Saccharomyces cerevisiae S288C: one gene and its partners. The protein of the gene in region 1 interacts with the protein of each later gene in a biochemical or structural test. Each region holds a gene or a part of one and is shown in the gene's direction. Other genes may lie near its edges.

Evidence for each region.
Region 2: of the proteins of IKS1 (region 1) and CWP2, one has a biochemical effect on the other in vitro, tested with the Saccharomyces cerevisiae proteins (one large-scale study listed by BioGRID).
Region 3: the proteins of IKS1 (region 1) and SRB7 form a complex in vitro, tested with the Saccharomyces cerevisiae proteins (one large-scale study listed by BioGRID).
Region 4: the proteins of IKS1 (region 1) and CUP1-2 form a complex in vitro, tested with the Saccharomyces cerevisiae proteins (one large-scale study listed by BioGRID).

The regions. Positions count from the first base shown.
Region 1 is NC_001142.9:327,599-331,984, reverse strand, and holds IKS1 (protein kinase IKS1), read left to right. Parts: upstream 1-1,863; coding exon 1,864-3,867; downstream 3,868-4,386. Other genes in the region: ZAP1 (Zap1p), read left to right, coding at 1-1,554; BIT61 (Bit61p), read left to right, coding at 4,112-4,386.
Region 2 is NC_001143.9:257,348-260,051, forward strand, and holds CWP2 (Cwp2p), read left to right. Parts: upstream 1-1,905; coding exon 1,906-2,184; downstream 2,185-2,704. Other genes in the region: MTC2 (Mtc2p), read left to right, coding at 1-496; YKL097C (uncharacterized protein), read right to left, coding at 1,156-1,566; YKL096C-B (uncharacterized protein), read right to left, coding at 1,726-1,875. UniProt on the Saccharomyces cerevisiae protein: Component of the cell wall.
Region 3 is NC_001136.10:1,077,504-1,080,263, reverse strand, and holds SRB7 (Srb7p), read left to right. Parts: upstream 1-1,814; coding exon 1,815-2,237; downstream 2,238-2,760. Other genes in the region: GIC2 (Gic2p), read left to right, coding at 65-1,216; PMT7 (putative dolichyl-phosphate-mannose--protein mannosyltransferase), read right to left, coding at 2,411-2,760.
Region 4 is NC_001140.6:213,996-216,645, reverse strand, and holds CUP1-2 (metallothionein CUP1-2), read left to right. Parts: upstream 1-1,927; coding exon 1,928-2,113; downstream 2,114-2,650. Other genes in the region: RSC30 (Rsc30p), read left to right, coding at 1-1,463; YHR054C-B (uncharacterized protein), read left to right, coding at 1,956-2,129; YHR054C (uncharacterized protein), read left to right, coding at 2,397-2,650. UniProt on the Saccharomyces cerevisiae protein: Protects the cell against copper toxicity by tightly chelating copper ions. May also act as a depository for copper designated for the effective transfer into the apo forms of copper proteins.

The DNA.
Region 1 (4,386 bases):
GGTACAAATCATGCTTATCACGAACATATCTTAAATACTGATATGGATTTGAAGATTTTGGAAGATTTATGCAATATTTCTTCTTTGTATGAAGTACCGTTTGGAAAACACATTAACCACCACGACCACAATAATGCCGGTAACGGCTGCGATGGTTCGAGCACAGGAAATAATGAAAACGGTAACCAAACAATGAATCTTCTATTATCAAGCATTAATAGATGCAACCCTAAAAATAATCTTAATGGAAGCAATAACAATACGGCTGGAGCAACTTCAACTGATCATCAACACCATCACCATAGAATACAGTTTCATTCTCACAAACCAAATAGAAACAATATTGTGAACAATTCAGGGATTAGCGCGGCGAACACAACAGCCGATCTAACTAACAACGATTTAAATGACTTAATTTCAAGAGAGTATAGTTATGAAAGATTTAGAAATCAAAGTGAGCCCCCTTCGCTACCCAAAGTCACTCATCAGAATCAGAAAAATCGTAGATCTTGGCCTACAAAAGATCTAGAATCTACTGATTTCAGCTCTTTGGAAGACTCATTACCTTCTAGCATCTCTCCTCCTATACAGACAACAAGCACTATAAATTTCAACTGGTGTTTTAAAGAAGAGAAAAACAATGACTTAAAATGCAAATGGAAAGAATGTCCTGAGTCTTGTAGCTCACTATTTGACCTACAAAGACATCTTTTGAAGGATCATGTCTCTCAAGATTTCAAACACCCTATGGAACCATTAGCTTGTAATTGGGAGGACTGTGATTTCCTTGGAGATGATACATGTTCCATAGTGAACCATATTAATTGTCAACATGGTATCAATTTTGATATTCAATTTGCCAACCCAGACTCATTTTTGCCTGGTAGTATATCAAAGGAAAAACATCACTTACTACATTGCCCCAACCCACAAACACACGAAGTTTCTAAAGCAGATGGAGCACCTGATATGACGTCTGCAAATGATGTTTCCAATATACCGCCAATCAAGCAGCCGGAACAGGTGATTTGCCAATGGGATGGTTGCAATAAGTCATTTTCCAGTGCTCAGGAATTAAACGACCATTTAGAAGCAGTACATTTAACCCGGGGTAAGTCTGAATACCAATGCTTGTGGCATGACTGCCATCGTACGTTCCCCCAAAGACAAAAATTAATCCGTCATTTAAAAGTGCATTCGAAATACAAACCTTATAAGTGCAAGACATGTAAAAGGTGTTTTTCAAGCGAAGAAACTTTAGTTCAGCATACCAGGACACACTCTGGCGAAAAACCTTACAAATGTCACATTTGTAATAAAAAATTCGCGATTTCAAGTTCTTTGAAGATTCATATAAGAACCCATACTGGTGAAAAACCTTTACAATGCAAGATTTGTGGTAAGAGATTCAACGAATCGTCAAATTTGAGCAAACATATTAAGACCCATCAGAAAAAATACAAGTGCTCTGACTGTTCCAAAAGCTTTGACGATTTGGGAAAATTGAACTCACAGAAAGTGAAATGCGCATTGGAAAGAAAACCATATTTATAAATGTGATCATCATGGTCCAACGTAAGAAGGGCGGTTTTCAGGATCACATAAATGCATAATTAGAAACATTTCATATTTTACCTAGACTACTTTTTATTTATAATTTTTCGCAAACTCTTTTTTGTAAGCTTTTACAGTACACTTTTTTTACGTAATAACGTATTTCAAGCTTTATTTTTTGTATACGTTTCAGAAAAGGGGGTGGGGGGGAAGGACATTGTATATATAGATCCTATGAGTGACAACTAGGTAACCGAAGAAACACTATTAGATATATAGTTTGAGGGATAGCATAAGTAGAACTTAGAAATGAGTTTAGTACCATATGAAGAAGGTTCGCTGATTTTAGATGATCCTAATTCTAAATCAGTGGTGGTTGTTAATCCAACCTCAGGAACTTTATCATTTTTCCAACAGGACAACAGTAATAATGACTCTGAACTAAATGAAGACCAGACTGCATCTTTATCAGCACTGGACTTTCCTTCAGGGATTCATCAATACAAAAGCCCTATTGCTTCCTATGTGTGCCCGCAATGTGGTACGGAAATTAACCCTGATATTATAAACAGAAGACAACTTCATCGTCGAGCCTCTGCTGGAGTAGAATCAGAAAGCAGTAGGCTCAGTATTCCAGAGAACACTGTGCCACTTGGATTTGAATTTGCCAATTCAAGCTTTTCAAGAAGATATTTTCAGTCATTGGAAAGAAATCATCGGCACTACGCCCTACAAAACGATAGTAACAATAAGCAGGGACAGTTCAGCAAAAACAAATACTTTATTCCAGATGATTTGTTTATCCCCGGATACTTTCGTAAATTTTTCAAAATATTGTCTTTGCTGGGAAATGGTGCAAGAGGTTCTGTTTACAAAGTTGTACACACAATTGGTAATACTGAATTAGGTGTTTTTGCACTAAAAAAAATACCTATTGGAAATGATATGGAATGGTTTAATAAGTGCATACGGGAAGTGAAAGCGTTGAGTTCGCTAACTCACAAAAGTGCCAATTTGATTACGTATAATCATGTGTGGCTCGAAATGGATTCTTCGGTTGGATTTGTCAGATCCATTGATGGGAGCCAATCGGATTCACAAGAAGAAGTTCCTTGTATTTTCATTTTACAACAGTATTGCAGTGGCGGCAATTTAGAAGACTGTATTCTAAGAAAAGTGTTCAATAGGTTCTCAGATACCGAATCACCTGAAGAGAGGAAAAAAAAATTTAGAACTCGCAAGAAAAATCACGGTAAATCAGGAGAAGTTGGCCTATCTACGGAACAGCTCGTATCCATTATAAGGGATATTGCAAGAGGTTTACACGAACTGCACAGTATTGGCCTAATACATAGGGACTTGAAACCATCCAACTGTTTATTATTGACTCCATTTAAAAGTGACAATGAGAATGACAACGTATACGACAGGGAACACAATTCAGATGAGTTTTTCCCATCAATTGTTATTGGCGATTTGGGGGAAAGTCAGTTGGAAGGAGAGTCCAGATTGGGTACTGGTTGCACAGGAACATTAGAGTTTACAGCACCAGACCTTATTATCCAGGGGAGACCAGTTTCTTCTTCTACGTTGCCTTCAAGATCGAGTCACACATACAATGAATACACCTTTGCTTCCGATATGTATTCTCTAGGAATGATTTGCTATTTTATTGTCTTCGGTGAATTGCCCTTTGAACCACAGTTGGATATAGTTGATTTGAAGGTACGCATCAAAAATTTTAGGTTCGACACTGAAGGTATGATTGAAAAGCATCAAGCGATGAAATTGAAACCAATAGACCGTAGAATATTTCACCTAATGGACGCTCTTTTACAACCAAATAATGATGCTAGACCCACAGCGAAGACAGTGGAGGAGACGTTAGATGAAATGCTAATAAATTCCAAACCCGGCAAAAAATTCTGGAAAGAAAATGTGGATAGCACTTTGAACTTCAGTACAATCTCGGAAGTGAATGAGAATACCAACAGTTTTACTGATGATTATATTGACGGAGACAACGTTACTTTATCATTACCAGCACCAGAGGAAAATTTGAGCACCGTATCAACCCAAAACCTCCAAAAGTATTCTGCTTTAAATAGAACAATCCAGGTTTGTTACAAACTAGTTTCTATGATATTAACGATAATCATATTTAAGTGTACCAAAACGGGGTCGTGGCTCTCTTATATGTCACTGATATTGTTGGGAATGGTTTTTAAATCACCAGCTGATGAAAGAGGTAAGCATGCAAGAGCGTTGGTTTTACTGGCCTTCATCGCCGCATGCAAAAAATACATATACTAACAATAAGTACACATTGCAAACTAAATAGCACGTAATTTATTTTTACTTTACAAATTTATAGAAAATATTCTCGCTTATCACCAATGTTCACGAATCATCTTCACCTCTTCTAAGGGCCGGTGACAAAGGTGCATAATGTTAGAAAAATTGACCGATGAGTAAATTTATAGAGGGAATAACCAAATGAAAAGATCTAGGTGACAGAAACGCCAATTGACCTCTGTAGAAATAAAGTTCTTTCATTATGACAGCAGAAGATATACTCCTTCGAGAAAGAACATCTACTACGACACAACGCCCTGTCAATAGCGAACAATACCTTAATGTGCAATTAGCCACAGCCCCAGTAAAAAATTTTCAGACTACAAGCGAGATTAGCCGGCAAACTCTTGTAGACACATCAAATGATGACGTTTATTCCATCAAGAATTTGAAGGGCTCGAGGAACCCCATTAGCCCTAGTGTTTCTAACGTTGGCTTCCAATCCATATTCCATACAGTAGATCATCCTCGATCGAA
Region 2 (2,704 bases), on another chromosome or scaffold:
CAATAATAGCATTGGTATGGCTGAGGAAGAGAAGCAGGAGCCAGAGAGCAAGAGGTCGATCATATTAAATGAAGAGGCAAATCTGAACGATGTATTTGTGGGGTCCACTGTAAGACGGTATATTCTCGATATCATGGTCCATTTGCGAACGCATAGATTGACGTATAACGCCAAAGCCGGCGGGGTATATACAAATTCATTGGACGACGTGGTGTTATTGTCTAGATTAATTGGTCTACATAGCGGCAAGATGTTTGTGTCACCTTCACATGTCAAAGAGGCGTCCAGGTGGTACTTCCCCATGCACTTGGAATTGGTTCAGCGTTCCTCCATGGATAGTTCCTTATTGTACGGTAGCGACCCCAACTTGGTGGACGAAATGCTAGAGAAACTTGCGAAGATTAAGTGTGAGGAGGTTAATGAGTTTGAGAATCCCCTTTTCCTGGAATCTCTCGTAGTGAAAAACGTACTAAGTAAAGTCGTGCCGCCCGTGTAAGTTTATTATGTATTTCGAGCATGCATCTGGAACCTATGTTTACATACGTACAAACGGTATTTAAAAGTTTCTATTCTTAGCGTCAATTGCCCTTTATCGTTTTGTTAACCAATTGTTGTTTTTATTCATTATGCCATGACCCGAAAAATGAGCAAAATCGGTCAAAGTAAATAGCTAAATATTTGGTCTAAAAAGTAAGAGAGAAATGAAAATGGCAAGGCTTAACTACTTTGCAATAGTGTATATAGACATTACCAATTGAGTCCAGCAACGAAAGATTCCGCTTGCACTTGGTCAATCATTTACTGACCATAATACGAAGTAATAGAGATGCTACTAAAAGATGACCATGCGATTACAATTTACAATAGACAATTAAGCGCAAGGACAATCAGTATGCATTCCATTTCTAATAGACAAGGTGCTATGAGTGAATTGCTAGCCTCCCCTTTTTATTTTGTGCGGTCACCGCAAGGGACAAAGCTTTTCTTAGAAAACCGTCTGAGAAGCATAACGTACGCCATCCCCTAGACATATTAATAATGCTACAGATACTATGCTGCTCGTCTTTTTTTGACGACCCTTTTATTGCAATGTGCAACTAATGGCAAACAACCACATAGTATCACAGTATTACATTGCCTCCACCGATGCGGATGTTAGGGCGCCAAGTCTGTCATGAAGCATGTTCCTGTCATAATCTTGTATGCAAAATACCGCGTTCTGCGCCACTGATATGCTAGGCAGCAGCAACCTATGCAGAAGATTGCTTTTCCCACGCCTGTTTTACGTCTCCAGGGCACTTGAAACAATGCAGCGATCGCCGCCACAACACGCCAAAGAGAAGCGAAAGTGGGCCTGGGCGGCCTCAGTTTCGGCAGAGGTAAACAACACGAACTGAACTGCCTTAGCTCCGAAGGGCAATTCCACAGGCACTCCGCGGGGCCCGGCCAAGGCCCAAAAGGCGTGGAATATGCGCGTTTTGGGGCCATAACACCCAGTACCACGGCCGGAACGGGCCATATAATAAGTTTTTCACTCTCAAGAATGGTAAACGTAAATAGGAACATCCCACTACCCTAGAAATTGCGGAAATTTCGCGCTTATCATTAGAAAATCTGGAACCGTCCTTTTTCCTCTTTCTTGCATTTCCCTTTCCGTATTATTGCCATTCTTTAACTGCATTTGGGGAACCGTAGACCAAAAGCCAAACAGAGAAATGTAACGTTCTAAAAAAAAAACAACGAAAAAATTGAAAAATAAGATACAATAATCGTATATAAATCAGGCTTCTTGTTCATCATTTTCAATTCTCTTCTTGCCATCCCTTTTCCTATCTTTGTTCTTTTCTTCTCATAATCAAGAATAAATAACTTCATCACATTCGCTACACACTAACAAGAAAAAAAATGCAATTCTCTACTGTCGCTTCCGTTGCTTTCGTCGCTTTGGCTAACTTTGTTGCCGCTGAATCCGCTGCCGCCATTTCTCAAATCACTGACGGTCAAATCCAAGCTACTACCACTGCTACCACCGAAGCTACCACCACTGCTGCCCCATCTTCCACCGTTGAAACTGTTTCTCCATCCAGCACCGAAACTATCTCTCAACAAACTGAAAATGGTGCTGCTAAGGCCGCTGTCGGTATGGGTGCCGGTGCTCTAGCTGCTGCTGCTATGTTGTTATAAGAAATCTCTGATTTTTTATAATATCTATATGGCTTTTTTCAAAATTTTCGGTTTTACTAGGTAAGTGTTTGATTCTTTTCTTTTCGTTAATATATTTTTACACATAATTTTAAATAATTTTTGTTATTTTGAATAGGTAGATACCATAAAAATAAAACACTTTTTACTTTAACGATGTTCCTGTGATTTCTCTTCGAATGAGTCAAAAATTTGAACTCGAAATGAATGTATTAGAGACTGGGTTTCTTCGAGTTTGCTGAGATCTTGGCTATGCACAATGTTTCCTGCGCCCCTAAGGTGAAAAAAACATGCATGCTTGTTTCAACAGACCAGTGTGCATAAAGAATTTCGCCCTTAGCTGCGATTAAAGAGTCAAGGCGTGAAAAACATAGGCGAAAGTGCTGACCGTTCTTCCCTTTATCTTTTTACCATCTTCGTTATCTGTTACCTGTTCAAAAGAAAGTGGGAAAGATATTGGTGTGCTACGGTGGGATCTTTTTTTTCTGCCATTTTCTATACT
Region 3 (2,760 bases), on another chromosome or scaffold:
GCTCCGAAACACCTAACACTAACAAAAGGAATACCTGACAGAATACGCTATCAAAAGAACGAATATGACTAGTGCAAGTATTACCAATACTGGAAACGAAACCATGAACCTTCCACAGATGCGGTCGATTTGGCTGGATGAAGATGAAGAAGCTGAAAAACTCTACGGTCTGCAGGCCCAGCAATTCATGGGATCTGATGATGAAGAAAACCTAGGCATTACTTTCATCAACAGCGATAAACCTGTGCTGAGTAACAAGAAAAACATTGAGTTGCCTCCACTTTCACCAAATTCACATCCGTCTTGCCACCACAGGAGAAGTAATTCTAACTCTGCAAAGTCTAAAGAATCATCGTCATCATCGTCCAGCGCCAACAAGACAAATCACAAAAAGGTTTTCCTTAAGCTTAATTTGTTGAAGAAAAAGTTGCTTGGTGCCCAACCGGACATAAGAGGTAAAGGTATCTCCACACCATTTGATTTTCAACATATTTCACATGCTGACACTAGAAATGGATTCCAAGATGAGCAATTGCAGGAACCTTCATCGCTGTCCACAGAGATTAAGGACGACTATACCTCCTCCTCAAGCAAGCGGGATTCGAAATCACTAAATAAAGCTTTTGTCACTGAAAGGATCCCTGCTAATCGTGAAAGCAAACTCATTTCAAGATCGCACGAAAATAAGACATCAAGACTATCAGTCGCGCGTTCGATCTCAGTAACGTCCTCCAATTACTCTAAAAACACACAAGGAAACAATCATTCCATTAATGGGAGAGTCGTATCTACGTCAACTATGGCTACATCTATTTTTGAGTATTCCCCAAACGCATCTCCAAAACAATTTAAAAATAAGTCACACGCTCTGGGTCATAGATACACTAATTCCACGGATTCTAGTGAGTCTTCGCTGGATTTTTTGAAGAACTACAACTTCCCCACACTACTTGAAGATAAGCCTATTTTAGACTTCTTGCCTCGTTCTCAGAGGTCAAGCGCTTATCGTAGCCTTTTAGAGACCCCAAACTCAAATAAGGACTCAGCAAAAGCCTTCTTTCCTTCACGCCAAAGCCCTCTTCCCAAGAGAAGAAACTCTATAGCTACGCCTTCTCCACAATCTAAATTTTCCTACTCTGACTCCCCTGTAAACCATAGAAAATCTTTCGATGATGTTCTTTATTCTTTCAACCAGCTCGAGCCCCTGCAAACTTAAGCTAAGGACAGAAAATGAAAAAAAAAAAAAAAAAAAATTCAAAGAATCAGCTTATAAAACATATTCAAGGACCATCTGAAGTATCATTCATTCGTTTTTTACTCGTTAATCTCATTCATTCGTTTCCTCATTCTTTTTTCTTTGTTCTTTATTTCGGCTATTTTTTCACTATTAAAATAACTAGAGCTAACAATATTATTTCTTCTGCTTTAGTTACAAAACAAGGACATTCATTTAACTTGGCGTTATCCCATACATTCGTTTATTATATCTTCTTTTAAAACACAATTTCTTTTACAGTTAAACTTTTCTGATTTATTATATATTACTTAAGATTGTTCATATAACTAACATTTATATGCTTATATGCGTGAAGTGCGCTTTTGTAGAACATGTGGCTGTTTCTGTAGAAGCCTTGTCTTTCTCTGTAATCCTTTAAAGGCCAACCGTACGTGCTTAATTACAAGCTTTGTTCGCATTGCAAGAAAGTTAGAAAAAAAATCAATTCTGAAAGATAATTATAATTCAAACGGTAAACCATTGGTTAAAAGAGGGACATAACATTTCACTAGTTCAATACATTATATGCTCTTTAACAATGACAGATAGATTAACACAATTGCAGATATGTTTAGACCAAATGACGGAGCAATTCTGTGCTACTTTAAACTACATAGATAAGAACCATGGTTTTGAACGATTGACCGTAAATGAACCTCAGATGTCCGATAAGCATGCCACAGTAGTACCTCCTGAGGAATTTTCTAACACGATAGATGAGCTATCCACGGACATTATACTTAAAACAAGACAGATAAACAAGCTTATTGACTCGTTACCTGGTGTTGACGTTTCAGCTGAAGAGCAATTAAGGAAGATTGATATGTTGCAGAAAAAGCTAGTTGAAGTGGAAGACGAAAAAATTGAGGCCATCAAAAAGAAGGAGAAACTTTTAAGGCACGTTGATTCTTTAATTGAAGATTTTGTAGATGGCATTGCAAACTCAAAAAAGAGCACATAAACTTAAGTTTTACAAAGAAATTTGCGAACAGAGGACAGAAAATGTACTATAGTTATATGGCAGAGTTAAGCGTATGTATGTTATTCTTATAAATAATTGTGCTACTCTATTTGTACCGGAGAATTATTGAAGCAATGGGAGAAAAATCATAATGGAGAAAATCTTTCTACGAGTTACTTTGCAAGGCAATCTAACGATTCTAAAAGACACAATACACTAAAGAAAAAACTTTGGAAGTACAGTTTTTTCCCCAAGTTGAAGTGTGGACTCATTGTGAAGATGTAAAAATGTAAAAACCAACCGACAATGCACTCCCAGCCAAATTCATTGTAGACCTCCCATTTGATAGAAAAGGAAGGTTCAGCAGTTGTCCACGGATTCCAAGATATCATTCTCTTACATTGCACGCACATGAAAATGATCATCGAGAGTAAGGATCCATACCATGCAAAATTAAACCAAACTGGAGAGTCTGTGTCTAACGTAATTGGCCATTTTTCCACGGCGAACGCATCTTCAAAAG
Region 4 (2,650 bases), on another chromosome or scaffold:
ATGGTGATACCTGTCCTTCATTCTCAACGGTCGATCTTCCTTTATCTCAACTGACCAAACTAGGCGAATTAACTGTGCTTCTACTGTTGTTAAACGATTCAATGACCCTATTCAATAAGCAGGCTATTAATAACCATGTTTCGGCATTAATGAATAATTTGAGGTTGATTCGAAGCCAAATCACATTGATAAACCTGGAATATTATGACCAAGAGACAATCAAATTTATTGCCATCACAAAATTTTATGAATCTCTGTACATGCATGATGATCATAAATCAAGTTTAGACGAAGATTTGAGCTGTCTGTTAAGCTTCCAGATAAAAGATTTCAAGTTATTCCATTTTTTGAAAAAAATGTATTACTCAAGACATTCGCTTCTAGGTCAGTCTTCATTCATGGTACCCGCTGCTGAAAACCTATCTCCGATACCTGCCTCTATTGATACGAACGACATTCCTTTAATTGCTAACGATTTAAAATTACTGGAAACGCAAGCAAAATTGATAAATATTCTGCAAGGTGTTCCTTTCTACTTGCCAGTAAATTTAACCAAAATTGAAAGTCTGTTAGAAACCTTGACTATGGGCGTGAGTAATACAGTAGACTTATATTTTCATGACAACGAAGTCAGAAAAGAATGGAAAGACACTTTAAATTTTATCAATACCATTGTTTATACAAATTTTTTCCTTTTTGTTCAAAACGAATCCTCTTTGTCCATGGCAGTTCAACATTCTTCTAACAACAATAAGACCTCGAACTCTGAAAGATGTGCAAAGGATCTGATGAAAATTATTTCTAATATGCACATTTTTTACTCAATAACATTTAATTTTATCTTCCCCATAAAGTCGATAAAGTCATTTTCAAGCGGCAATAATCGCTTTCATTCTAATGGTAAAGAATTTTTATTCGCAAATCATTTTATTGAAATCTTACAGAATTTTATAGCAATCACATTTGCTATTTTCCAACGTTGTGAAGTAATATTATATGACGAATTTTACAAAAATCTTTCAAATGAGGAGATTAATGTTCAATTGCTATTGATTCATGACAAGATTTTGGAAATTTTAAAAAAAATAGAAATTATCGTATCCTTTTTACGAGATGAAATGAATAGCAACGGAAGTTTCAAATCTATTAAAGGTTTCAACAAGGTTTTGAATCTGATTAAATATATGCTGAGATTTAGCAAGAAAAAACAAAATTTTGCGAGAAACTCTGATAACAATAATGTTACAGATTATAGTCAGTCGGCGAAGAACAAAAATGTTCTCTTGAAATTCCCCGTTAGTGAACTGAACAGAATCTATTTAAAATTTAAGGAGATTTCAGATTTTTTAATGGAAAGAGAAGTTGTCCAAAGGAGTATAATTATTGACAAGGATTTGGAATCTGATAATCTGGGTATTACTACGGCAAACTTCAACGATTTCTATGATGCATTTTATAATTAGTAAGCCGATCCCATTACCGACATTTGGGCGCTATACGTGCATATGTTCATGTATGTATCTGTATTTAAAACACTTTTGTATTATTTTTCCTCATATATGTGTATAGGTTTATACGGATGATTTAATTATTACTTCACCACCCTTTATTTCAGGCTGATATCTTAGCCTTGTTACTAGTTAGAAAAAGACATTTTTGCTGTCAGTCACTGTCAAGAGATTCTTTTGCTGGCATTTCTTCTAGAAGCAAAAAGAGCGATGCGTCTTTTCCGCTGAACCGTTCCAGCAAAAAAGACTACCAACGCAATATGGATTGTCAGAATCATATAAAAGAGAAGCAAATAACTCCTTGTCTTGTATCAATTGCATTATAATATCTTCTTGTTAGTGCAATATCATATAGAAGTCATCGAAATAGATATTAAGAAAAACAAACTGTACAATCAATCAATCAATCATCACATAAAATGTTCAGCGAATTAATTAACTTCCAAAATGAAGGTCATGAGTGCCAATGCCAATGTGGTAGCTGCAAAAATAATGAACAATGCCAAAAATCATGTAGCTGCCCAACGGGGTGTAACAGCGACGACAAATGCCCCTGCGGTAACAAGTCTGAAGAAACCAAGAAGTCATGCTGCTCTGGGAAATGAAACGAATAGTCTTTAATATATTCATCTAACTATTTGCTGTTTTTAATTTTTAAAAGGAGAAGGAAGTTTAATCGACGATTCTACTCAGTTTGAGTACACTTATGTATTTTGTTTAGATACTTTGTTAATTTATAGGTATACGTTAATAATTAAGAAAAGGAAATAAAGTATCTCCATATGTCGCCCCAAGAATAAAATATTATTACCAAATTCTAGTTTGCCTAACTTACAACTCTGTATAGAATCCCCAGATTTCGAATAAAAAAAAAAAAAAAAGCTATTCATGGTACCCGCTGCTGAAAACCTATCTCCGATACCTGCCTCTATTGATACGAACGACATTCCTTTAATTGCTAACGATTTAAAATTACTGGAAACGCAAGCAAAATTGATAAATATTCTGCAAGGTGTTCCTTTCTACTTGCCAGTAAATTTAACCAAAATTGAAAGTCTGTTAGAAACCTTGACTATGGGCGTGAGTAATACAGTAGACTTATATTTTCATGACAACGAAGTCAGAAAAGAATGGAAAGACAC